3 linked regions of the Mytilus edulis genome follow. The protein of the gene in region 2 purifies or fractionates together with the protein of the main gene of each other region. This does not show direct contact. Links are inferred from orthologs where the notes say so. Each region holds a gene or a part of one and is shown on either strand. Other genes may lie near its edges.

The links.
Region 1: the proteins of tyrosyl-DNA phosphodiesterase 1-like (region 2) and DNA repair protein XRCC1-like purify together in Homo sapiens (affinity purification with mass spectrometry; 4 studies listed by BioGRID and IntAct, with this or other methods). This does not show direct contact. The link is inferred for Mytilus edulis from reciprocal best matches to the Homo sapiens genes TDP1 and XRCC1.
Region 3: the proteins of tyrosyl-DNA phosphodiesterase 1-like (region 2) and DNA ligase 3-like purify together in Homo sapiens (affinity purification with mass spectrometry; 4 studies listed by BioGRID and IntAct, with this or other methods). This does not show direct contact. The link is inferred for Mytilus edulis from reciprocal best matches to the Homo sapiens genes TDP1 and LIG3.

The regions. Positions count from the first base shown.
Region 1 is NC_092349.1:93,467,563-93,475,929, reverse strand, and holds the start of DNA repair protein XRCC1-like, read left to right. Parts: upstream 1-4,773; 5' UTR 4,774-5,105; coding exon 5,106-5,156; intron 5,157-6,453; coding exon 6,454-6,543; intron 6,544-8,367. Other genes in the region: uncharacterized protein, read right to left, coding at 184-1,274, 1,766-1,826. UniProt on the Homo sapiens protein: Scaffold protein involved in DNA single-strand break repair by mediating the assembly of DNA break repair protein complexes. Negatively regulates ADP-ribosyltransferase activity of PARP1 during base-excision repair in order to prevent excessive PARP1 activity.
Region 2 is NC_092346.1:49,635,563-49,643,745, forward strand, and holds the start of tyrosyl-DNA phosphodiesterase 1-like, read left to right. Parts: upstream 1-5,017; 5' UTR 5,018-5,091; intron 5,092-7,532; 5' UTR 7,533-7,592; coding exon 7,593-8,183. Other genes in the region: B9 domain-containing protein 2-like, read right to left, coding at 845-1,158, 1,936-2,061, 2,717-2,804. UniProt on the Homo sapiens protein: DNA repair enzyme that can remove a variety of covalent adducts from DNA through hydrolysis of a 3'-phosphodiester bond, giving rise to DNA with a free 3' phosphate.
Region 3 is NC_092356.1:45,825,464-45,834,047, forward strand, and holds the start of DNA ligase 3-like, read left to right. Parts: upstream 1-5,090; 5' UTR 5,091-5,180; intron 5,181-8,584. UniProt on the Homo sapiens protein: Isoform 3 functions as a heterodimer with DNA-repair protein XRCC1 in the nucleus and can correct defective DNA strand-break repair and sister chromatid exchange following treatment with ionizing radiation and alkylating agents.

The sequences.
Region 1 (8,367 bases), on a different chromosome or scaffold from region 2:
TAATGTGATGCTATATTTTTTGAATGTGATGCTATCTGAAGTTGTTTTCTTATAGATTGTGTTATGAATGTGATGCTATAATTTTTTAAAAACAGAATGGTATTTCAAATTTCCCTTTTAGCCAGGATGCTATATGAAATATCTGGGGAGAACACTGAATCATCTGTGTATAAGATTACAAACCTTTGTTAAATCTTCAGTCTCAGGTCTGGTCTGTTGCTGGGTAAGTTGACCCTGCTGACCTAGAGAAACTTGTGTAAGTAAATGCTGTGGAATGCTAGCTCCAGGGTGACCTTGCATTAATTTAATGGCCTCTTCCAAACTTAACTGTGTCCTCTCTGCAGGAGATACTCTATCTTGACGATAATGCGAAGATAGCTCTGGCACTGGTGACATTCGTTGATGTTTGGGAGATGGGGAAGACTTCTGAGGACCTGGCGATACACGTTTAGGTGCTGGAGAAGGTGTCTTACGTATGGTAGATACATGATATGGAGACATCCTTTCACTCTCACGACCAACGACCCCTGGTGGAGAGGATCCTGGTATATTGTGTACAGTTCTGTTAGGTGGTGGACTGTGATAGGAGGGTGACGGCCTTGGAGGGTCTACTCTGTGATAAGATGGGGATGATCTTGAAGGATCAATAGTCGGTCTATGAAATGAAGAATCTGATGAAGGTCTAATTCCATGTAACAATTGTTGTCTTAACAGTCCACCCTGGTCAAGTCCATGTGGAAGACGTATTCCCCCCTGTTCTAATCCATGTGGAGCTCTTAGTCCCCCCTGTTCTAATCCATGTGGAGCTCTCAGTCCACCCTGTTCCAATCCATGTGGAGCTCGCAGTCCACCCTGTTCTAAACCGTGTGGAGTAAATGACCGATACTGAGGCTGGGAGAAAATCTGTCCCATAAACCTTATGTCAGGGATTCTTTCTGTTGAACTTTGAACTTTAACTGGAGAAGTAGGAAGATGTTGCACTGTATGCGATGGTTCTGAAGGTTGATTTATTCCTTCTTGTGCCATTATGTGAGATGCTATAAATGATGGGGACAAACTTTTCTTTGGAGGGAGGTTGTGTAGTCTTGGTTGATTAAGTGTCTGTCCATCAAAAACAAGTCTGTCAGTAATATGATGGGTTCCCTGTCCTTCTGGTATCAATCTATCTGCCTGATATTGGATTGAACTATCTGGATGGTACTGAACAGTACTTGACATGACTGGTCTCTGATTATCACCAGATTTCTTCTTGCCATCTTTCTTTGCCTGGTTTCCTGTCAAATGTAAAGATGATTTATGTAATTGTCAGAACTATATTTTTATTGATTGACAAGTAACCATGGTAACTATTAACATACATATGACATGTATGAGCATGTATACCTCTAACAGTGGTGTCGGTAAAAAATGTTAAAATTAGTGATTGTTTCCTTTAACTTGTGATAAAACATTCAGGAAAACTATTTTCTAGTCCCAACATTTTCCTATTTATTGTTCTAGGATAATACCGTAAAATTGGTTATTTACTAAATAATGTCATTTTGGTATCTTGTGGAGAGTTGTCTCATTTGTAATCATACAACATCTTCTGTTTTTATATGTACATGATGTACAAATGTAGGTATCTAACTACATGTAGCATTCCAAAATTTACACTTTTATGTAACTGATATTAAATGCAGACAGAAGAATAAATAAATGAATGTAAAAATACATAATTAACATGCAAAAAGAATTATCAAATATAAGAAAAGTCTATAATAACCTTGTGATTTCTTCTTCTTTGGTTTTTCTGCTACGTTTTGGAGATCTTTATTTCCATCCATAATTGTCTGACTGGTTAACTGTATACAATGTTACTGTCCACTTAATGGCTACATGTACCTTCTAACTGTGTTACGTCTGACTGGTTAACTGTGTTAATTAAGGCTGACAAATGTTACTCTCCACTTAATGGCTACCTTCTAACTGTGTTAAGGCTGACAAATGTTACTCTCCACTTTAATGGCTACCTTCTAACTGTGTTACGTCTGACTTTACTGATTGTTCAACTATCTATCTACTTAAATCTGTGGCTTCCTTTTCAATTGTAAGTCTAAGACTGACTTCAGTTGATGGTTTATTCTTCACTTTAATTTATCTTAAATATGAATGAATCTGTAAAAAAACAAATATACTGAGACATGTGAGAGACCAATGTAAAAAGTTTATTTGAAACCCCTATGACAATGTACTGTGAAAAGTGGTACAACATGTACAATATCCTAAGGTAGGAATAGTCATGCAAAAATAACTTACCGTCTTTAGGTGTGTATAGTATGCATTTGTTATGCTTGTAAAGTAGTAGGTAGAGGTGGTGCCTATTATACACACCTAAAGACAGATTTTTATATGATTATTAATGTGAGGCAGGCATTACTTGTGAAAGGGGATGAAGTCTGTATGAATTATTTTTTTTTAATTCATACATATTTTAACATCAAAATGGTTAAAAAGGACACGGAAATACCGTAACATTTCCGATTTTGGTTCTGTTGTTAGGGATTTTAGTTGTGACTTTATTTAGGTTATGACATCATATTCAATGTAAACACAGAAATGCTATCATTAGGTAATGTTTTTTTTATATTAATGAATTGTTAAAAATGAATTTGGTATGGTGTTCCTTCTTATATTTTACTAGACTGATAAACGATAAATATATTTCATGTATGTTTTACTCAAAGTCTCCTGACAACAGTCAGGGGACTTACTTAAACAAGTGATTTTCTAAATCACTGATTCAAGTAACATTATTTCCATTAAGGTTGGAAGTTAGAGTTGTCTTTCTTTAATAATCACCTATTTAAGTAGTACAAATTAATCACTAGAAGTGATTTAATTTTATTGTAGCTTTAAATATAGAATACTAATGATCCAGGGCCTAATTATGTTTCGAAACTTATCAGAACCAACATTTGTGTTGTCTAGGATGACCAGGTCATTTCAGGTGATGACCTTGTACTGAATCTAGGATAATGACATACAAATCACTTATTTAAGTATCAGACCTCAATTTCCTTCCAAAAAATCACTTCTTTAAGTATCATTCTTTTAATAACCCCCACTAATTTCAACACCCCAATCAGTGAAACTTTTATCGCAAACAGTAGAATTTTATTACATAATCTGAAAGATGAAACCTTGAACTTCACAGGAAAAATACTCCCACTGCTGTGAAAAATCTTTGAAGAAAGTGTCAGTTCATTATGTAAAGCCATTATTATAGCATTTTTTCAACTAAAATAGAATTTTCAGCTAAATGATAGCATCAAAGGCATAAACCTTGCTACTTAAAAGAAGCAAAAAGTTCATATTTTTAAATTTTACTAATTAAAAGATATTATTTAACATGTTTAAACCTATGTGTTGAAAATTTTGAAAAAACTACAAAATCCCAATTTGTGACAAAACCTTGAATTTGCTACTCAAATAAGTGATTTAAAAATCACTTATTTCAGTAAGTCCCCTGTCTGGACAACGAGACCGGAAAAAGTAGGTAGATTTCTGCGCAAATGTGGGAATTTAAATAAGTCTGAAAAAAAAAAGTTAACGATTTTGAGGTCATTAGTCATGTTGTCTTTTTTAACCATTTCTACATTTGAAAATGCCTGTACCAAGTCAGAAATATGACAGTTCTTGTCCATTCGATTTTGATGTGTTTTGTCAGTTGATTTTGTTATGTGATTATGGACGTTCCGATTAGATTTTCCTCTGAATTCAGTATTTTTGTGATTTTACTTTTTAGTAGATTGAAAATTTGGGGGATGTTTTTTGTTAATTGATTTTTCTACCATTATAAGGCATGTAAGGGACTTCGTCCCCTTATCATACCTGCCAAATTATCAAAATGCCCATGGGGGTTTTGCGTGCAAGATGGCTGCCATAATCCTAAAAAACCTTCAAGGGGGGCCTTCAAATACATTGCAATGTTGTATTTTGGCTTCTTCATACTTTTATAAGCCTCAATTGATTGTAAAATTAATTATTTGTTTAAAATTGTGGACAAAATTGCTCTTCAAAAATTTCAATTTTGGAGCCTCCATGGGGGAAATCCCCTGCAAATAGTGACAGTTGGCAGGTATGCCTTATAAAAAAAAATATCAATGGTGTTTTAATTTTCATGAATGTGTAAATGTCATGTATGTTCAAGACGTTTTTTTTTTTTTATCTAATTTCTTTATTTCTAGTTTTATCAAGCTTAAATAAAAGTTTTCCTTGGAACTTCCGTCATTCCGTTATGCAAAATGTGTATGTTGAAACCTTGAGATAAAATATCTTTAAAATGTGGTAAAAAAAATAGTTTCCAATATTATTCTTCATGTTCATGATCATGATGATATTAGTCTACAATGTTTTCCTTGGAAAATATAATCATTCAATTAAATTGTTAAATTTGGTTGTTGGCTGAATTATCGAGGTCTCAATATGACTCCAGGTAGATTTGACCAGGTGATGAAGTGACTATAGAATGATAGAAGTAGAATTTGTCAAATTTCAATCTTTGACAGCTAAATCAGTAATTTTAACTAAGTCTAAAGTCATCAAAAATCAAATTAAATCAGATATCATAGACCTGGTGTTAAAAGTAAAGCTCAACATGGCTGCACTCAATTGTAACCTTTACTGGCAGTTAGCTTATTCTTACGTGTTTTTATTTCAATTTTCAGGTAAAAGATCTTCTTCAGATTTTATGTTGTTTTCAAGTGTATGAATGGGAGACAACCGAAGTGTGAACTTCCGGGAAAACAATTTGGATGATGCAAATTATAAATAGCAACAAAAAGAATAAATTTCTGCATTAAATGATAAAAGACACTTAATTAATTGAATTATTTATCCATTTAGTTCGTGAAATTGACAATTCACTCTGTAGTTCAGAGGGAGGATCTTTTCCCTCAAAGTGCCCGGAACCGTCTCTTTAATTAACATTAACATCGTATTTCCGTTGTTTGGATTCTTACAAAAACTTGCTGAATAAGGAGCTCGATTCAGTATTATGTGTATACTTTAGAATTGTAAAGTAAATGATTAATCAAATGACATTCCAGACTTAATTGGAGAACATGCCAGAAATAAAAGTGAAGCATATTGTATCCTGTAGTTGTGCTGACAAGGTAAACACATGTACAAGCTTGATCGGAATTCTGACCTGTGCTAGTGTCTTATACACCTTATCGCTAATCCCGGCTGACCCGGCAGCTTGAACTTTTGACGTCAACAACAATCACTTTTCCATTGTGGCGTCAGATATTTTGTTTTATGACGTCAAAATTTTACGGGAACCTGTGTGATTTCCAGCAATGGCAGACAAATAGCGATAAGGTGTATTCTAATGAGACTTCTAAGAGTTCCATAATAGACCACTTTCGAGTTCATCCCTCACAGAAAAAAACTTGTTAATTATGCGCGCCTTTATAACGTCATTAACCAGATAGAGGGGATCGCTTGTATCCCTGCACTATTAACGTTCATCAAGCATCTTTGTGATCATCATTGTGTAGGATAAACTAGAAATAATGTTTTGTAAGTACTCAATTACAAAATTTTCCTTAATGACAGCAGTGATGATTGTCAATTATCAAATTTTAATTCGCTGAATAATTCGTGCCCCGGCCACTTGCTCAACATTGGAACAGAAGTGACGGTGCACCTAAACACAAGAATGATGTTCACCAAAACCAGAGTTTTTGATGGAAATACATCGAACTCATAAATTGTCTATTAGAAGTTCATAGGGGGTCTCATTGGGGGTTTCTGATCCAAGATCCCTCTTACTGTTTTGTCAGATTCCAGTATCCCGCTTACACTATGTACATAAGCAATTTCTCATTTTTTTGCTAATTTCCCGTTTTCACGGCACAATAATTTGACTTTCAGGTGTCATGCTTACAAAAAATCAGCAATCCCACGTCACGCTTAGACCCCAATGGCAATGAGACCAACTTAATACTAAAAGAAGACGTTTATAGTGAAAAAAAGACTTTCTAATTTCAGTATTATACTGCCCGGATTGACCTGGGGACTACTGGCCTAGAGGAAAGCTAGTGCAAATAATAGACCCCTTTCGATAAAACATGTTCTAGTTTGTCCTTCACCTTAAAAACTTGTCAATTATGGGTGCCTTTCTGACGTCATTTACCAGATAGAGGGGATCGCCTATATCCCTGCTCTAATAACTTTCATCAAGATCTCAGTGATCATCATTGATAAACTAGGAATATTGTTTATTTAGTCGGTACTTTAACAATTACCAAATTGCTAATGAGAGCAGGGATGATTGTCAATTATGATTTTTCAATTTGCCAAAAGAATTCTTGCAATAAAGCATCATGGTTTTCTATAAAGGTATATAGGAAATTTTTCTTCTGAGATGAGTGCCTGTGTGTTAATGTTAGAGTTTGTTTATTTCAGAATAATCCAGCTGAAAATTTGTTAAAAGCAGAAGGTTCACACAAGTGGAAAACAACTGGCCAGCCTAAAAATGCTGTTGTTGTACTCCAGGTATAGTTACTATAAACCTGCAAATTCTAAGTAAACAAATTGGATCTGTATTGACCCATGTGTGACAGTTGGGCGGCTGGGCTTGATAAATAAACCTACTTGTATGAACATGTCGCTTGAATGAAGTAAATTTATAAATTTTTTGTTATTTTACCATTTTATTTATGCATTGTCAATTTTGTGTCTCGTTCTTGTATCTGTGACTCTACTTTGTAAATCTAGGGTTCACTTTAATAACCTCTCAATACCACATGTTTTACATATAAATCTAGGGTTCACTTTAATAACCTCTCAATACCACATGTTTTACATATAAATCTAGGGTTCACTTTAATAACCTCTCAATACCACATGTTTTACATATAAATCTAGGGTTCACTTTAATAACCTCTCAATACCAGATGTAAATCTAGGGTAATAATAACCTCTCAATACCAGATGTAAATCTAGGGTTCACTTTAATAACCTCTCAATACCACATGTTTTACATATAAATCTAGGGTTCACTTTAATAACCTCTCAATACCACATGTTTTACATATAAATCTAGGGTTCACTTTAATAACCTCTCAATACCAGATGTAAATCTAGGGTAATAATAACCTCTCAATACCAGATGTAAATCTAGGGTTCACTTTAATAACCTCTCAATACCACATGTTTTACATATAAATCTAGGGTTCACTTTAATAACCTCTCAATACCACATGTTTTACATATAAATCTAGGGTTCACTTTAATAACCTCTCAATACCAGATGTAAATCTAGGGTAATAATAACCTCTCAATACCACATGTTTTACATATAAATCTAGGGTTCACTTTAATAACCTCTCAATACCAGATGTAAATCTAGGGTAATAATAACCTCTCAATACCACATGTAAATCTAGGGTTCACTTTAATAACCTCTCAATACCAGATGTAAATCTAGGGTAATAATAACCTCTCAATACCAGATGTAAATCTAGGGTTCACTTTAATAACCTCTCAATACCACATGTTTTACATATAAATCTAGGGTTCACTTTAATAACCTCTCAATACCACATGTTTTACATATAAATCTAGGGTTCACTTTAATAACCTCTCAATACCAGATGTAAATCTAGGGTAATAATAACCTCTCAATACCACATGTTTTACATATAAATCTAGGGTTCACTTTAATAACCTCTCAATACCAGATGTAAATCTAGGGTAATAATAACCTCTCAATACCAGATGTAAATCTAGGGTTCACTTTAATAACCTCTCAATACCAGATGTAAATCTAGGGTAATAATAACCTCTCAATACCAGATGTAAATCTAGGGTTCACTTTAATAACCTCTCAATACCAGATGTAAATCTAGGGTTTACTTTAATAACCTCTCAATACCAGATGTTTTACATATTTAAATCTAGGGTTCACTTTAATAACCTCTCAATACCAGATGTTTTACTTTAATAACCTCTCAATACCAGATGTTTTACATATTTAAATCTAGGGTTTACTTTAATAACCTCTCAATACCAGATGTTTTACTTTAATAACCTCTCAATACCACATGTTTTACATATTTTAAGTTCTTCATTAACAGATGTTTTACATATTTTAAGTTCTTCATTAACAGATATTTTAATAAAAAAAAATAAAAAGAAACTGTGATGAACCGCAGACTGTAAGTTTAATAACATTTAGCAAGGAACTCCAGTCAGTGTTAGTGAGGAATGTTGGCTGTTTTTTGTGTTGAAGCACACTTAAACTTAATATTTAAAGACAAAATCAGCAATAATATTATTTTTTCCTTTGCACAGGCTTTGTGAAGTGGATGTAAGAAT
Region 2 (8,183 bases):
AATCAAAAATCAAAAGATATATTTCTTTGGAATTCCATGTTAAGCCTAATGCAAATTTCACCTTTTTCCAAATAGATTTAGCTCACAAAACCTTTTCTCCAAACAACCATATTCCTGAACCACTTGCTAACATCTCCATTGTATTTATAAAGCTAGGAGACTGGAGACTAACTTGTGAACCCTTTTACAAATCACCAAAAAAATATCAAAAAAATACCATCATAATCTTTAACAACGCAACAAAATACAACCATTTGATTTTCATAAACTGACATAATTAAACACCATAAATCTTACTATAGTTATATTAAAATATATATAATGCCTATATAATGTTTGATAAATTCAAAATGGAAAATCCTGACTGATGAGAAATCAAAGTATAAATTTATTAGATAATAAATCACTATTAGCATAATTACATAAAAAATAATAAAAATAAATTAAGAACATTGACTCTCCATTCCTTTCAATGTTAACCATAGCTTGTTTTTGAAACTTCGGTCAATCAAAATTTTCTTACCAAATGACCAAAATATAACTGCGTGTTTAATAGAGGCAGACTAAGGATATTTCATTTAATTCATGGACACAAATTAATTATTGTTTGAAATTTAGATGATATTTTGCTAATATGCCAAATCAATCACTAGCCATGGAGAACGACAATTGTATTTGGTGCCGACTTAAAGAAACCAATTTGTATCAAATAAGTTCAAATTATCAAAATGAATCTATGAAATAAATTCAGAAAGAGCTGTTGAATATTTCTGAAATAAAAAATTTGCGTCATGCCTCTGGTATCATTTAAAAAATAATGTATAAATTACATTTTTTTCAAAAATCAACATTCAATTCCATATTTGTCAAAGTTTCTAAGAACAACACCTATATTCATGTGAACATTGCCCATGGCAACTGTATTTAGTCTGTATCTATCAGCTCCACTGTAAATCAGATCAGGATTCTTCAGCTGTGGTCCTCCACCAACAAAATATTGAGAAACTTGTTCTCTAAATGTTCCTGCTGGTCTCCATGTTGGACATGAAATTTTATGGGTACCAGGTGATGTAGGCACATGGCAAAATCCATATCCATATAGTTCATTCCGTCCAAAAGAATCCTGATGCCAAACTTGAAAATGAATTTTTGGCCAACCTGAAAAAAGTTTTTAAATTTATTTAAAGATTTATCTTCAATCAAACTTGCAAGTTTAAGGAGTCATGTCTTGTATATTTTACGTGGAGTATTTATGTTCAAGTTGACAAAATAATTCATAAAATCAAAATATTCCTTGATGCAATTTTGTTTATTATATGTTTTGTGTTTATTGTCATTGTGTGTTTTACTATCTTTTATAAGAATTTTATAAGGCTAGTTGTTTTCTTGTACTTATTATCATAGTATCCTTTCATTGTCATTCAACTGTTAGAAGCCAAAAAAGGGAGGTTTACTTGTAATTCTTAAGATAAAACAGTAGTTCAGGCTGGCATATGTTCATGTGCCTGTACAATGTAAGGATTCTCACAATCCACTTCAGTGGTTTTTTTAACTTGTTTTGTCATTCAGGTTATTTGGTATTTATGACAACTGAGGCATAGCCAAGGTTGACAATGTCTTTTTGAGGGGTTACAATCTGCTCTATAACACTTTAAGATATATTTGTTATTTAATTCATTATACTGATTGTTCTGAAAGTTCTGTTATTACTGTCCTTTTAATTTTAAATTCTAAGTAATAAACTATGATGTCTTGTACATAACAACCATCTATACTAAATAAAACACACACTTGATAAAGCATCTCCATGAAGGGTAATAGAGTATTGGAAATTGGGTAGAGTCAATTATCTCCCTTGTATAAACCAATCAAAATCTGATATTTTGATAAGAACTGAAGTGTAATATTTAATATTGTTTTAATTGAACAAATTACCTTGTAAACCTTTGGTTGTAAAGTGAACATCTATTGGATGAGCCCAGTATGCTTCATCATAATTTTGTGGGTTATCTACTTGTGTTTGTCCTTCTCTTAGACCAGACAAAGCTTTCCATGCTCCTCCTGATAATACAAAATATATCATAAATATGAATTGATATATGAGGTACATGTAGTTTTACATAAAAAAATATCTTATAGTATAAAAACAAATAACTAACACTGGACTTTGACTTTGTGGTCTTCATTGGTGAATGTAAGTTAACACTTTAATCATGCACATTGTTTATGGATATACAATGTAGGTCAATAACAATGAAGAAAACTATTTACTGAATTTGAATAATGTGTATCCTGTGTTATCTGACATACTGGAGGACCAGAAAAAATGTTGGATTCAGCAGGGTGTCGGAATACTCTGGCAGGTTTTTTTTTTGCAAGGTTAAGCAAATTGGGACCATGAAAATGTGTCGGTTAAAGCAGGATGTTGGAACACTCAGGTGTCAGAAAAGTCAGGTTACACTGCATAATCAATCATAACACACTGAAAAAGGGCTAATATACAGACAAAACAAATTCTCTAATCAGATTTTCTTCAAACAGATTATTTTCTTCAAAATTTTGCTGAAGACTACAAGTAAGTTTAATTTTGAATGTTTTTTATGTTTGCTTGCTATTTCACAGTCTTTATAATTCTAAAGAACTAGTCAAAGTTTATTCAAAATAAGTTTTAAAAAAATGTATGTATATGTTGTTTAATAAGTCTATTTCAACACACCTGTATGTATACCCCATTTACAAAACAAACTATGATCTGGAAATCCATCAGCACCAAGAATCTGTCCTATGATATGTACTTCTGCCATGATTCTGTAAAAATAAATCAATTACTCTATTCAAGATTCAATTATGTCGGAGGAAAAAAATAAAATTACACAATTTAAAACTCACTTATTTCACATATATATATGTAATTCAATTGAATTCTCTCAAATACATTTCCAAAAGTACATTATATGTTCATGTTCCCCATTTCCATTCTTAATTTTATGTTGTACATTTTTATGTATAAAATGTATCAAAAGTCAAATTAAAGGGACTCCAAAATTACTAGTCATGCTAGTGTACACAATTCAAAGAGGGAAACCAACGATCTAATTTACATATATATACAAACGGGAAAATACATATGAACAGAACCACACCAACAAACGATACATGTTACTACTGAACAATAGACCCAGAATCAATGCGGACAGGTGCATAAACATGCAGTGGGTATGGATAGTTTCGTTCCGCTGGCATACAATATAATTGCAGTTGAAGGCAACTCTTCTCCTTCAGAAGTTCTGCATTCTCTATTTTGACAACGAACATTTTTTGATGGGCCGGGAATGTAGGTGAGGGGGAAGAAAACTAATGTACAGGTATTTTCCCCTTGTTATATATTTATATCAGAGCACTCCCACTTTGGATATATGGGTTTAATGTTTAATCAAATTTTTACAAAAACATTTACATAGTGTGGTGGGGTGCTTATAGGTTTAAAATCATTAAATACAGGTAAGCAGGTAAGACTGTGATTTTAAATTAAGGGTTAATATTTTTTTATAATATTTACCAAAAAACAGACAGGATTATATTTCCGGATGCGGGAAGCAGGAATATAAATCTTAAAATTTATTTCTGTTTCGAATAAAATAGGTGCGGCCAGGTCTGTCAAATAAGGAATTAAATTGATGTGGCCTCAAAGTCATTATTGCAGTACTAGTCTTCTTCTTTAAGGAAATTTGTAAATGGATTCATGTGATAGCTTTATGAATTATGTAGTATTGAATAACACAGAAAGTTCTCTCTTTGGTATTTACATATGTATTATAAACAATGTTTGCAACATATGCATTTTTCAATTATAACTCTAGAATCCGGATCCGTTCGCGCCCATTCACGTTTGCACCCACTCATGTTCGCCCCTTTCACTTTCCCACCCTACATGCTCGCACCCAAAGTCTGTTCGCACCCTACATGTTCACGCCCAATTTTAATTGGTTTTTTTTGTAATCATGCAAGTTTTGGTAAGAGTATTCTTCTTGTCATTGTCTTAAAATAAAGTGAGACAGCATTTTATTTTTGTGTTGAATAAATCTTAATCATGTTTTGGATAGTGTATTGTTAAAAAAAATATAATCCTTTCTATAAATAAAGTGGGATTCTGTCAACGTTTTATTTTGTGTTGAATAACTCTTAATCATGTTTTGGTTACTGTATTCCTATAACTTTGTTTCATTGACTTGTTTCAAAACAACTAAGTGAGATTTTGACTACGTTTTTTTTTTGTGTGTTGAATAAATTTTATCTTGTTTTGGTTATAATAGTGTATTGCTTTATTTTATTGTTTAATTGTTTCAGATCAAAGTGACCAAGCTATCAAAAACAATTATCTTTTGTGGTTTTTTTTTGGGCCCAAACGTGTAGAGTGCGAACGGACCTTGGGTGCAAACCTGCGAGGAGCAAACGTGTAGGGTGCGAAAGTGTATTGGGCGTTAACGGACCTGATACCATAACTCTAACCATCTGGTGTCTCTTTCCTTTTGTGATAAATATTTCAAACAGAAAGAAAGCAATTAAATGAATCTTGTAGTTAAATTGGCAAACCATTTTATTTGACATGCCCAACCCGTCTTTTCGAACATAAAAATCAAAAGTAATTAAAACCCGCTAGGAAAATTCAAGTTCGAACATGGCCAAGGCACTTTAAACTCTCTTTTTGCTTACCACGCCGTAATTTAAGTAGATAAAATGCTGAATTCAGTAATTTTGTTATTAAATGGTTAAAACTTTTCTGATTTAGGCTTCTCTGATATCTTATATATCAGGAAATTTCATTTTCTTTAGAATAAATTGTTAATGTTCATTCCTGTCCACCATTTTTGTTGACATTAACAATTTGATATTTTCGTATTTTGCATAAATCCTATTTATCAAAATAAATTGATCTTGGATGAATAATTAGTTGCTATTTAAAATGAAACTCTTTGTTAAACGCTTTTAAAAATAAAATATGAAATAATAACATCCGAAAATAATTAGTAAACAAATGCTGATTTGGCACATGTGTGAGTTCTATCAAGATAATGACAACTTATCATATTTGTCAGTGTAAAATTCATAGCTTATAAATAATCAACATCCTGCATCTCCCTCATAAACAATCATCAATCTCTCATATAAATTTACACGTGTGCTCTTGCATTTTACGTCTAATAACCAATTCCTGTTCTGGAGAAGGAATAAAACACATTGTCCAATGCTTTAAGGTTCATCATAACCTTTTGGCTAAAATGGCCTTATTTACACCCCAAATTTTACTCTGAGTACAGACTAACCTATACACCTGCAACAGTTTTAAGGGATGGCAGGAACTAGATATATAAATTTTAAATGCATTTTATGTTTCAGAAAATTATAAACTTTTCTAGATTTTGCTATCCATTTTTTTTCGTTCCTGCAGAAGGTGCAAAAATTAACTAAGTAGTGAAAACGATTGAGAAGCTCCCCTCATATAATGAATGTTGTGAGTAGTATTGATTTAAATGGACAATAGACACCTGTAAACAATAGGTGATTTAACAGGTTTAAACTGTGTCACTGAATGGACCGTATCAAATGAAACTCGGGTGTTTGTTTATTTTGCTATCTTCTGCAGACTGGAAAAAAATGAACATCAAAATCCAGGTAAGTTTTTAATTTTCTGAAACGTAGACTTCATATAACTTTTATATATCTAGTTCCTGCCATGCCTTAAAACTTTCCTGGATGTACCAGTTTGTCTGTACTCATAGTAATTTTGGAGGTGTAAACACGGCCATATTTTTCAATTCCTTATGATGAACCTTAAATACATGTATAAACAATAACGATAATAATTGATAAATTCTTTATTTTTAGAAATCTGTCTGGCATGACCCTGGAATCTGTTCCGCTTGAACGTTTGACATCATACAACAATCACTTTTCCATCAATCTAATTAAAAACCGATCTCTCATCGCTCCCGTTTTCTGATATGTCGCATGGGAGATCTAACGAAACCGGCTTTGAGGTCACATGTGAGTGAACTAAAAGTTATAAATTTATAATGATATGCAAATGAGTTGATGACCTATTAGTAAGCCAATCAAAAAAGTTTATGAATTATTTTGACTGACGATTTCGTCGTAAATAAAATGAGTTACATCCCTTTACCTTTCATTAAACTTTCAAGATCGTGGAAGACTCAATTTCATTGGTCGAAAAAGACACACCTACGAGGTCACTCACATGTGACCTCAAAGCAGGTTTCGTTAGATCTCCCACGCGACATCAGAAACAGGAGCAATAAGAGATCGGTTTTAATTAGATTGCTTTTCCATATGAGCATCACTGATGAATCTTATGTTGACGAAACGCTTGTCTGCTGTACTAAATTATAATCCTGGTACCTTTGATAACTATTTACACCACTCATGGGTCGATGCCACTGCTGGTGGACATTTCGTCCCGGAAGGTATCACCAGCCCAGTAGTCAACACTTCGGTGTCAACATGAATATCAATGATGTGGTCATTTTTATGAATTTCCTGTTTACAAAACTTTGAATTTTTCGAAAAAAACTAAGGATTTTCTTATCCCAGGCATAGATTACGTACTTAGCCATATATTTGGCACAACTTTTTGGAATTTTGAATCTTCAATGCTCTTCAACTTTGTACTTGTTTGGCTTTATAAATATTTTGATATGAGCGTCACTGATGAGTCTTATGTAGACGAAACACGTGTCTGGCGTACTAAATTATAATTCTGCTAGTGGTACCTTTGATAACTATTATGACTTTGTTTAAGACCCCAAACTAATCAATGGTAACAACAGGTGTCATAATCTGTTGTTACAGGTAATCTGTTTATTGGATGGGTCTTTAATGATTACTATATTAATTCATTCAAATAGAATCGATAGAAGGAATTTGCATATACATGTAACAACACTATGTACTGTACTTTCCTAGTGTAAGAATAATTTGTACCTCAGCCATTGTCAGCTCAGGCCAACAGAATGTATACAAAACTTTCCCAAAAAATCGGATTGTGTCTGTTGCTAAAGTAGACCTTTATAAAACTGAATCACCCTATACTAGTATATAAGAATCAATTGGATATAATTTGTAGAATATTCCGTATTGATTTAACCTTCCATTAATGGCCTGTTATTAATGAATGATAATTGTATATATTTAAGATTGTTTTTTGTGCATAAATTAATATTGTCATTTCTTCAACGTTGTACTTTATTTGGCCTTTTTAACATATTTTGATTCCAGCTTCACTGATGAGTCTTTTTGTAGACGAAAATTGTGTGTCTGGCATATATATAAAATTTGAATCCTTATATCTATGATGAGTTTATTCTATCTAGAACCTCCCAAAAAAGGGACAAACCTTGTTTATACTGTCCTTTGCTTTCTGATGTTGTCCCTTTCTATTACCAGGAGGTAAAAATAACCTATTTGTAATATGGTATGTAATTTAAAAAAATTCATGGTAAATTTATTTTTTTTAGGAAAAAAAATGTAAATTAAATTCCACACTTTGATATATATATTGGAATCATTTTGATCTTATGTCTGCAAAGGGAGGTCATCATGTATCTGATACAGACTCGGATATTACTGTTGGACCAGAAGATAGTGACGTGACCACTGAATCACCACACAAATCACCAGTAAATCTTCCGTCATTAAGTAAAAGAAGAAGTGAAGTTCATGAGATTTCAGAGTCTGAAGAGGAAAGTGAAGAATATTTCATTTTGAAAGGGACTTCTAAAGGGAAAGGAAAATCTTCATTATTTAACTCATTGAAATCCACATCTGAACAAAACGAATCTAAATCACTTGTTAAACAAAGTAATAAATCATCAGCAACTTTGACTAAGCTTAAGTCACAAGAAAAGACAACAAAATCATCATCAGAATGTTTTTCAAAGTCACTAGACAACAGAACAAAGCCATCATCAGAAACTTTGACTAAGTCAATCGAGAAGAGATCAAAGCCATCATCAGAAACTTTGACTAAGTCAATAGACAAGAAGACAAAGTTGTCACCAGAAACTTTGACTAAGTCACATGACAAGAGAACAAAACCATCATCAGAAAGTGTGACTAAGTCCTCTGAGAAAAAGACTAAGTCATTTACAGAAATAGAGAACTGGTTA
Region 3 (8,584 bases), on a different chromosome or scaffold from region 2:
ATGTTCTACCGGTAATTTTAGCCATGTCGGCCATTTTGTTTGGTAGGCTGGGTCATCGTACACATTTTATAAATTGTAAAACACAATGATAATTGTGGCCAAGTTTGGTTAAATTTGGCAAAGTAGTTTCAGAGAAGAAGATTTTTAGAAAAGTAACAAAAAATGACGAAAAGTTGTTAAAAATTTACTATAAAGGGCAATAACTCCTTAAAGGGTCGACTGACCATTTTGGTCATGTTGACTTATTTGTAGGTCTTACTTTGCTGAACATTATTGCTGTTTACAGTTTATCTCTATCTATAATAGTATTCAAGATAATAACCAAAAACTGCAAAATTTCCTTAAAATAACCATTTCAGAGGCAGCAACCCAACAACAGGTTGTCCGATTCGTCTGAAAATTTCAGGGCAGATAGATCTTGACCTGATCAACAAATTTACCCCGTCAGATTTGCTCTAAATGCTTTGGTTTTTGAGTTATAAGCCAAAAACTGCATTTTACCCCTATGTTCTATTTTTAGCCATGGCGGCCATCTTGGTAGGTTTGACGGGTCACGCCACACATTTTTTAAACTAGATACCCCAAGGATGATTGTGGCCAAGTTTGGTAGAATTTGGCCAAGTAGTTTCAGAGGAGAAGATTTTTGTAAAAGTTTACAGACGACGGACGCCAAGTGATGAGAAAAGCTCACTTGACCTTTCAGGTCAGGTGAGCTAAAAAGGAGCTGGGCTAAAGGAACATTAAAACTCACAAGTTAGAAATAAAAGGACAATGGCATGGCTAAAAAGAATCTGTAAACAAAGCAAATCCACCAATACACATTTTATACTGCAACTTGTTGTGCTAATTTCCTAAATATAGTAACATAGCTATATTTTGTATAATGTCAATTTCATCATGGAACACTTTCTCCACAATTAGGGGTCCATTAAGTGATGAAAATAAGTTTGACATTTGTGTTACGATTTAAAAAGCTCTCATGCAGTGTAATAATTTATGTTGCAGCATAAAAACAATATTAGGTCAATTTCATAAAAGTATAAAAAAATGTTTTACTCATGCAAAACTGGAGAAGGGCAGGGCTGCCAAGTCTCAGGCATTTAGCGTTAGACTCAAGCATGTTTATGATTTTTTGGTGGAATTTTACTTTGATCTATTGTTTTTTCTCTTTGATCTTTTCAATTTTGGCCAAATCTCATGCCCGCATTTGCTTCATGAAAAGTTGACATAACTGGGAGGGCTCGGTAGAACCTTGCCTTTTCCCAGTTTCTCAGTCTCATACAAAACAGTTTATATTTTCCTGACATTGACCTAATATTGTATATATCTGGTTTACCAACTCCAGAAGCAGTTATACACTTATTTTGTCTAACAGTATATATGCAGATCTAAAGCTTGCTGCACCTCAAGAAAGTGGAAAATTACATAAAGACGACGAGGAATTGAAAACAACAAAAAGTATAACAGCTGGTTTATTGTTAACAAAGCTGTCTTCTTGAAAAAAAGTTGTGTGTTCCATATTTGTACGAATTTTAAATAAGTTAGTCTGAAACACAATGGAAAAACAAAAAGTCAACAATTCTGGCCAGACTGAGTTATAAACAAGAGATGACAATATTAATGTTGCTTTCTTTAATTTTTTCTTGGTGGAATATATAATTTTGTCAAACGTCATCCCAATATGCTGGTTTTATTTAAAATTTTACTGCGACGTGACCAAAGCTTAGTATTGCGGTTTACCTTTGCCTGCTGGTCAACCAGATTGTAAAATTGATTATATGATTGGAACATTTAAATTTACCAGTTGTAATTAATTTTTCCCAAAATATTTTTTTTTTCTCACATGAATTATATTAAATATATTTGTCTTATCAAAACCTAGCTTTTTGTGTTCTGCTAAGGGAGCCAGAGGCCCCCCTTTTCTGTGAAAAATTTGGTTGATTATACAGGGAATCACTGGAATGGGCCCCCTCTTAGGCAGTCAGTGGGTCCCCACTAATGAAAATTTCGATATCCACCACTGGGAGCAACCATTTAACTTCAAGGGGGTTTATGTTTTATTTTTAGTCAGAATTTTTTTCACGATCAATTAGATTATTTTTTCAAAATTTTACACTATACTTAAGGTATGTAGGGAATTGGCATTCAGAATATTTTTTTTTACAAATTTAAACAAAAACCCCACTAGAAGTTAAATTGTTGTTTCCTAAGTAGAGTTTACATTTTAATTTAAAAGCAGTGTTGACAATATTTATGAGACCATCAGAGCTCATACGAAACACTCCTGCAGATTTCAAACCTTCCATCATAAAAAAACTCGTAGAATGCCCTCAATTGCATTGGAGACCTTTGATATAATTAATAAAAAATGTCCTTTATTTATTCAAGATTTAGTTGTAATAAAAAACAATTCATATAATTTCAGGTATGTGAATGATAACTGAGGTACCTAGACCTAGAATCTCAAGTTATGGTAAAAGATCCTTTAGATTTGAGGCAGCACAAGTATGGAACTCCATTCCTAATGAGGCTAGACTCATGACTTCTTTTGACCAGTTTAGGAATTATATAAATTCCTGGTGTGGGGGTCAAAAATGTAACAGCAGTTCATGTCGTTTCCATCCAGTGCTGTCTCAAAGCTGAAATTTCTTTCTTTCTTTTTATAATGGCCTTTTGCTCTGCTTTTATGCATTTATTGAATGTATCTGCCACTAAATGCTAGTGCTTACATTTATTTATTTATTGTTTTTATGCTTTTAGTCTGTTATTATGCTTCAAATGATGCTTGTCATGCTGAGCTTGGTAGAATTCCACTCAAAAATAAAATTGTTTTTTCAAGCATAAATTTTTTAGAGCATATACTTTCATCAGAAAATACACTTGTAAATCAAAATTTCTGTTCCACAAGATTTTAAAACCCCTGTATCCTTAAAACTTCGTGCATTTTACACAAATTAGGATATTCATATCTTGTTGATTCACTAAACAATTTAAATGATAGAGCAGCAATATGCAAAATATGCACAAGTGCACATCCTTTAATGATTGAAAGGGGAAGACATCTAATTAATATTCCTAGAGAGGAAAGATTATAACTGTCCTGTCTGTAAAAATTGGGAAAATGAGGATGAAAAACATTTCTTATTAAAATGTAATAGATTTACCTCAAAGCGAGAAATATTGGAAAATAAAATAAATGTTATATTTCAAATACAGCGTAACATTACCATTGATGAAAAAATATCTCTATTGGTTAATAATAGCTCAGCATTATTACTAGACTGTCTTCCTCTTTCATATCAGAGTGTCTTAATATAAGAAATAGTGATCTTATATGATACATCATTTTGTAACTTTTCATAATAGCATGATATGTTATCATGGAACCTTTCATTCTACCATGTCAATTATTATAGTTATATGTAATGGCATAGGTCATAACCATTTATTGTTAATGAGTTTGTGCCAATAAAAATATTTGTATTTGTATTATTTAATGATTTTCAAGTGATTTGCCGACTCCCCTGTTCAATGCACATAGAGGCGCTTGCCAAATGAACTTTGACTCGGGAGGCTCACAGATCAAATATATTTGCTTCCATTATACTTGCATGCTTTTTTCATTTTTATTTGATAGTATTTGCATGAAGCTGCATGATTTGTTTATGTGATAGTGTAAAGCAAAATTAAATCCGGGTGAAATTTGATCCGGAGGAAAAAATGTCACAGTAGTTGTTGTTATTTTTTTATCCGGTGGAATATATTTCCCTGGGATCTTTTTTCCTTTGCCGTGAAATTCTATCTGGGTAGTTATCTTATTGAATAGTTATTAGAAAAAACTTATCCTTTAAAAATACTATGAAATAATAATAGTGTATTTGAAATAAAGCGAAATTGTTAAAAAAAATGTATTATAATGGGAAATAATTTCACAAATTATCCGTGAAAAAATTTCCTGAAATATTCAAGTCAATATCATCCTTTTAAAAAAAAAATTATCATGAAACATAGGGAAGAAAACCAGAAGTAATTTCAAAGATCCTTATTGTGAAAATAATATCATGATTAAATAAGGTTAGTGAAATACATGTAAAAGTGAGTTGTTTTCAGATCTCAGTACAAATATAAATTTAAAAGTAAGGTAGAAATATAGTTGCATTACTACTGTTAACAGTAATAGAAGAATTTGATTATGATGATATTTTTAACTATATAAATAGTTTTGTCTGGGGACAGAGATGTAGTTGTTGATTATATGGAAATCAGATAAATCATAGCATAACAATATATTTGAACAAAAGCATGTTTAACAGCTGGATAGTTTTTACCTGTGAAATGTTATCTGTCTTATTAAATCAAGTTGTAAGTCAACTTTTTATATAAATAAATATATAAAAAAATAAGATTCAAGGACAAACACTATAAAATAGATTCAGAAATGTATTATATTAATATCTTTAAAATATAAATTGCTCATAATTATCTCCCTTTGATAAATTATGCAAATTTGGTCTACCTTTGTGAAACATTTTATAATTATAGTCAGGTATATCAGGGGGATGGGGCTATGGTTTTTTTTTGGAAAAAAAAGTTTGTTTCCAGTTTTTGGAGAAAAAAATAATTTGTTTTTGATTCTGAGAAAAAAAAAATGTTTGTTTCACCCTCAGCTGCCACTATATGTAATGCTAAAATTGAAAGAAAAAAATTGTTTTCGACTTGTCGCGAAAAAAATAGATTGTTTTTCACAAATATATACCGGTACATACTATCCGCATAACACAGATAGATTTTCACTCCTCTGGAAAAAATCAACCTGTGAAATACCATGCCTGGAAAAAAATTACCGGGACAAATTATCCACAGGATAAAATATCCCATAGGAAGAAATAAACCGTTACAATAGTCGGTTAAAGAGCTCACCAGAGCTCATGTTTTGTCTGTTATTGTGTATATATATGACGACTCTGAATAAAATTGTCTTACTTACTTACTTTCTTACTTACTAACACTACTATGTAAATTTCCCTTAATATCTTGTGAGATTTGGGTAGATTCTCGGGATTGCACTCAGGTTTTTATAACTTTTCGCTCTCCTTTTTAAAGATAAATTTGTCTGTTTACATTGTTTTGAAAAATCGCAAACCTCTGCAAAATTGTTTTGTGTTGTGTTGAAATTTCAAGTAAGAATTCAAAAAACAAATCCCCAGCCGTCAAAAACAGGCGTGTCATCCTGCATGCATCATTGTATTTTTTGCAAAATGTTTGTGCGAAAAGAATGTGTTCCAATGACAAGAACTGCCACTTCGGCACTTGGTTGAAAACTTTTTACATTGCGTATTATTTTTTTTCCATAATTTTTCTTAGTCAACTTTTACATATTATACCCCAGACCGTGTAAAGAGTAGGTATCGGACTCCTGAGTCTCTGATCCTTTATATCTGGCTTTGTAGAATCTAACACTAGCAATTCATAGTTTATTATAATAAATTACAATTATTAATTAAGCAAATATCAACAATATTATAAAGATAAAAGTATTCAAATGTAAATAATTTAAAACTCTCATAAAAGTGACAAAATATGGCGAGGTCTGTGCAGCAAGACTGAAGATAGACATTTTGTTCTATATATCAGGTTGGGAACAAACCCTCTATATCAGTTGAACGGCAAACGATTTAATGGCTTCTAAGTTCAAGACATTGGTCACGTGATAAAAGGTCAGAGTTTACGATTTTTTTGTAAACGTGCATGCCTCGTGGTTTTTAGACTCGTATCGTCTTATTTGTACTCGTACATTAATAAAAACCAAAGTGTTCAATTCTAGATTGAATAAGCTTTCTTATTTTATATAATTATAATAAAAAAGTATTGTTAAAATGTTATAAATTCACGAGCAAAGTGAAACTTTTTTTCGGAAAATTTGCGTAGGTCCACGGAAAATCCTTAATAAATCCTTAAATAGGTTTGGTAACGTGTTGAGAGGTATAAAATATGAAGTAAAACCATTTTTTGCTCCTAATATTACAATATCAGATCACAAAAACCCCGGATACGCAATTCTGTCAGATTATTCGTGGCGAAGCGGAGATCAAAGGGAGATAACTCGGTACGCGCATCGTAGGAAATTGCAAGTTCACAATAGTAAATATGAGTAAAATTAATGATTGCAGATCTATTTCGACGAGTTCTTGAATACCGTTCAATATTCCATGTTCCTCTACTGTTAAACATTAAAATAGTCATGGAAGTTCAAGTTCTTACAGGTTTTTGAACACTTCCAAAGAAGACACTTACCAACATTTTATATCAGACTGACTCTCTGAAACTTGAATATATTGTATATATTCTCAAACACCCTTTTAGTAGATACAAGGATACAAGATGGGTTTATCAGTCATTTGTCAGAAGAACCTGTGTAACAATAGAAGCAGAAGCAGAAGATTACATTTAAACAAAAATATGGGGGAAAAAAGGAAATACATGTATATAGTCTTCAAAATTGTTACCATTACCATAGATTGAAAATAAAATCAATCTGAAGTAGCCAGAAGTACATGTACAATTTTTGTTTTATTATAGCTGCTTTAAGATACAGTTGCAGATGATGATGATTGGAACCTCCTCTTTTTATGGCAGATTAATGCATTTGAATGGGATCATGCATATAGTTGGAACCCTCCTTTTTATCCTTAGTTGAGAATACCACCACTTATGTTTAAAATTTTCTGGATTCACCCTGAGATAAGAAACTACATAAGTTGTACAAGTTCTGTTGCTTGCCTTAATCAAGAGAAAAAATCTGAACATTCAAAGAACCAGAAAGGGATTTAAAACATAATAATCAACACAAAGATCACTGAACAAAAGCTGTATTGTAATCTGATATATCCTGCAGTTATCATAAATCCTGTTATATGTATAAATATTTGAAGTTTTGCTTTATATTTTTTCTTCTTTCTTATATTTGAATTCAAAAGTCCTGCAACCAACTGTTAAGTGCTTGATAATCAATTATTGATTGGATAATAACATCAGCTGACCAGTAAATAAAATTTGAAAATGCTTAGTTGAAATAAAATAGTGGTATTATGTCATTAGATATACTGAATCAACTTCAAATTTAATCCAAATTCACATTTACCTGCACTAAAATGCATAGTCAATTGAACTACAAAAACCTGAGACTACTTCAATGTATAACATAGAGATTGTGGTCACCTCCCATGTTATAGTAGTCTTAAACAAAAACAAAACTGACTTCACTTAAATACAGTATGTTCAGAATTTTTTTGAAAAAGGACAAAGTTCAAAAAGAAATTTATTATTCTGATATCAGAAATAATCTCATAGTATCAAAGCAGAATGTCAGTTCTTTTAATTGAGATAACCAGTTTAATCACATTATTTACTTTTATAAAAAAAAATGATATCTGGATTTACAATCATTGACTAAGCTTGTCATCAACTCACTTACTTTACAAATGCTTTTAAAAGTTAACCTGTCAGTACTAAAATAAATAATTGTGGTATAAGACAAGATATTTTATTCAAATTAAAGGGCATATGAAGAGCAAAGTAATGTACATGTATTACAATGATTTATATATGTGTATATATAATGGATCAATGATGTTGATATAAATCAGATAAATATGGAGATAACCAACTCCATTCTTAGATTTTAAACCACAGCTAGTTCAGAGCCACACATATATTTGAAAAGGCATATAATAATTATATCTTCAATTAACAGGCAAATGTTTCCAAATGCCCAATTTAAACATTATCTGTACTCTCTATATATATTGATAACTTTCTGAGTTCAAACCATTTATTTTAAATTGCAACACAGTCACTTTTCAATGCCTCTAGGTTTTCTTGAATAAAAAGCCAATTAGATTTGTCACTTGTGCTTAACTTTTCACAACTTTTTTTTAACTTATTATTATATTATAATTAAATTCTTTTCTTAAAAACTTATAAAGGGGAAACTGACATTTATGGTATAGTTGCCAATGACATAACAGCCTGGAAACTTATCACCAGAGTCCAAGTCTCTGTTAGCAGTGACAGTTAAATTACAAGTCACTTGACATACATCAACAATTAATACATTCCATTGTTTTAAGGCAAATGAGGAAAATAAGAGTAACAAAAGCTTTTGCCTTACTACATGCACAAGAGAATATTAGAAATTATAATATAAATTAGAAAATATCAGAGGCAAAAAAGACAGGACTTAGCCACTGGACTTTTAGTAAAGTACCCTTACTAACCCTTAGAGGAGCTGCTGTATACTAGAAAAAATTATATTGATGATTTGACCCCATCAATCAGCATTTTAGCATTACATTATTGTCAATTGCTATCTGCTCTATTTGTTCCAACCTGTCATGAGAGTCAAAATGTATTCCTAGGGTGGGAATTAAACCCATGTACGTTCATTTAATTTATTGTTCTTTGTGTACACAAAATGTACATGTCCATGAAATATATCAAATGCAAAAAATGCTGTAATGTATCATTACACCCTCATTAGTTAAGGACCAAGTAAAAGAAGTCCCTGCACCTACCTAGACGTATT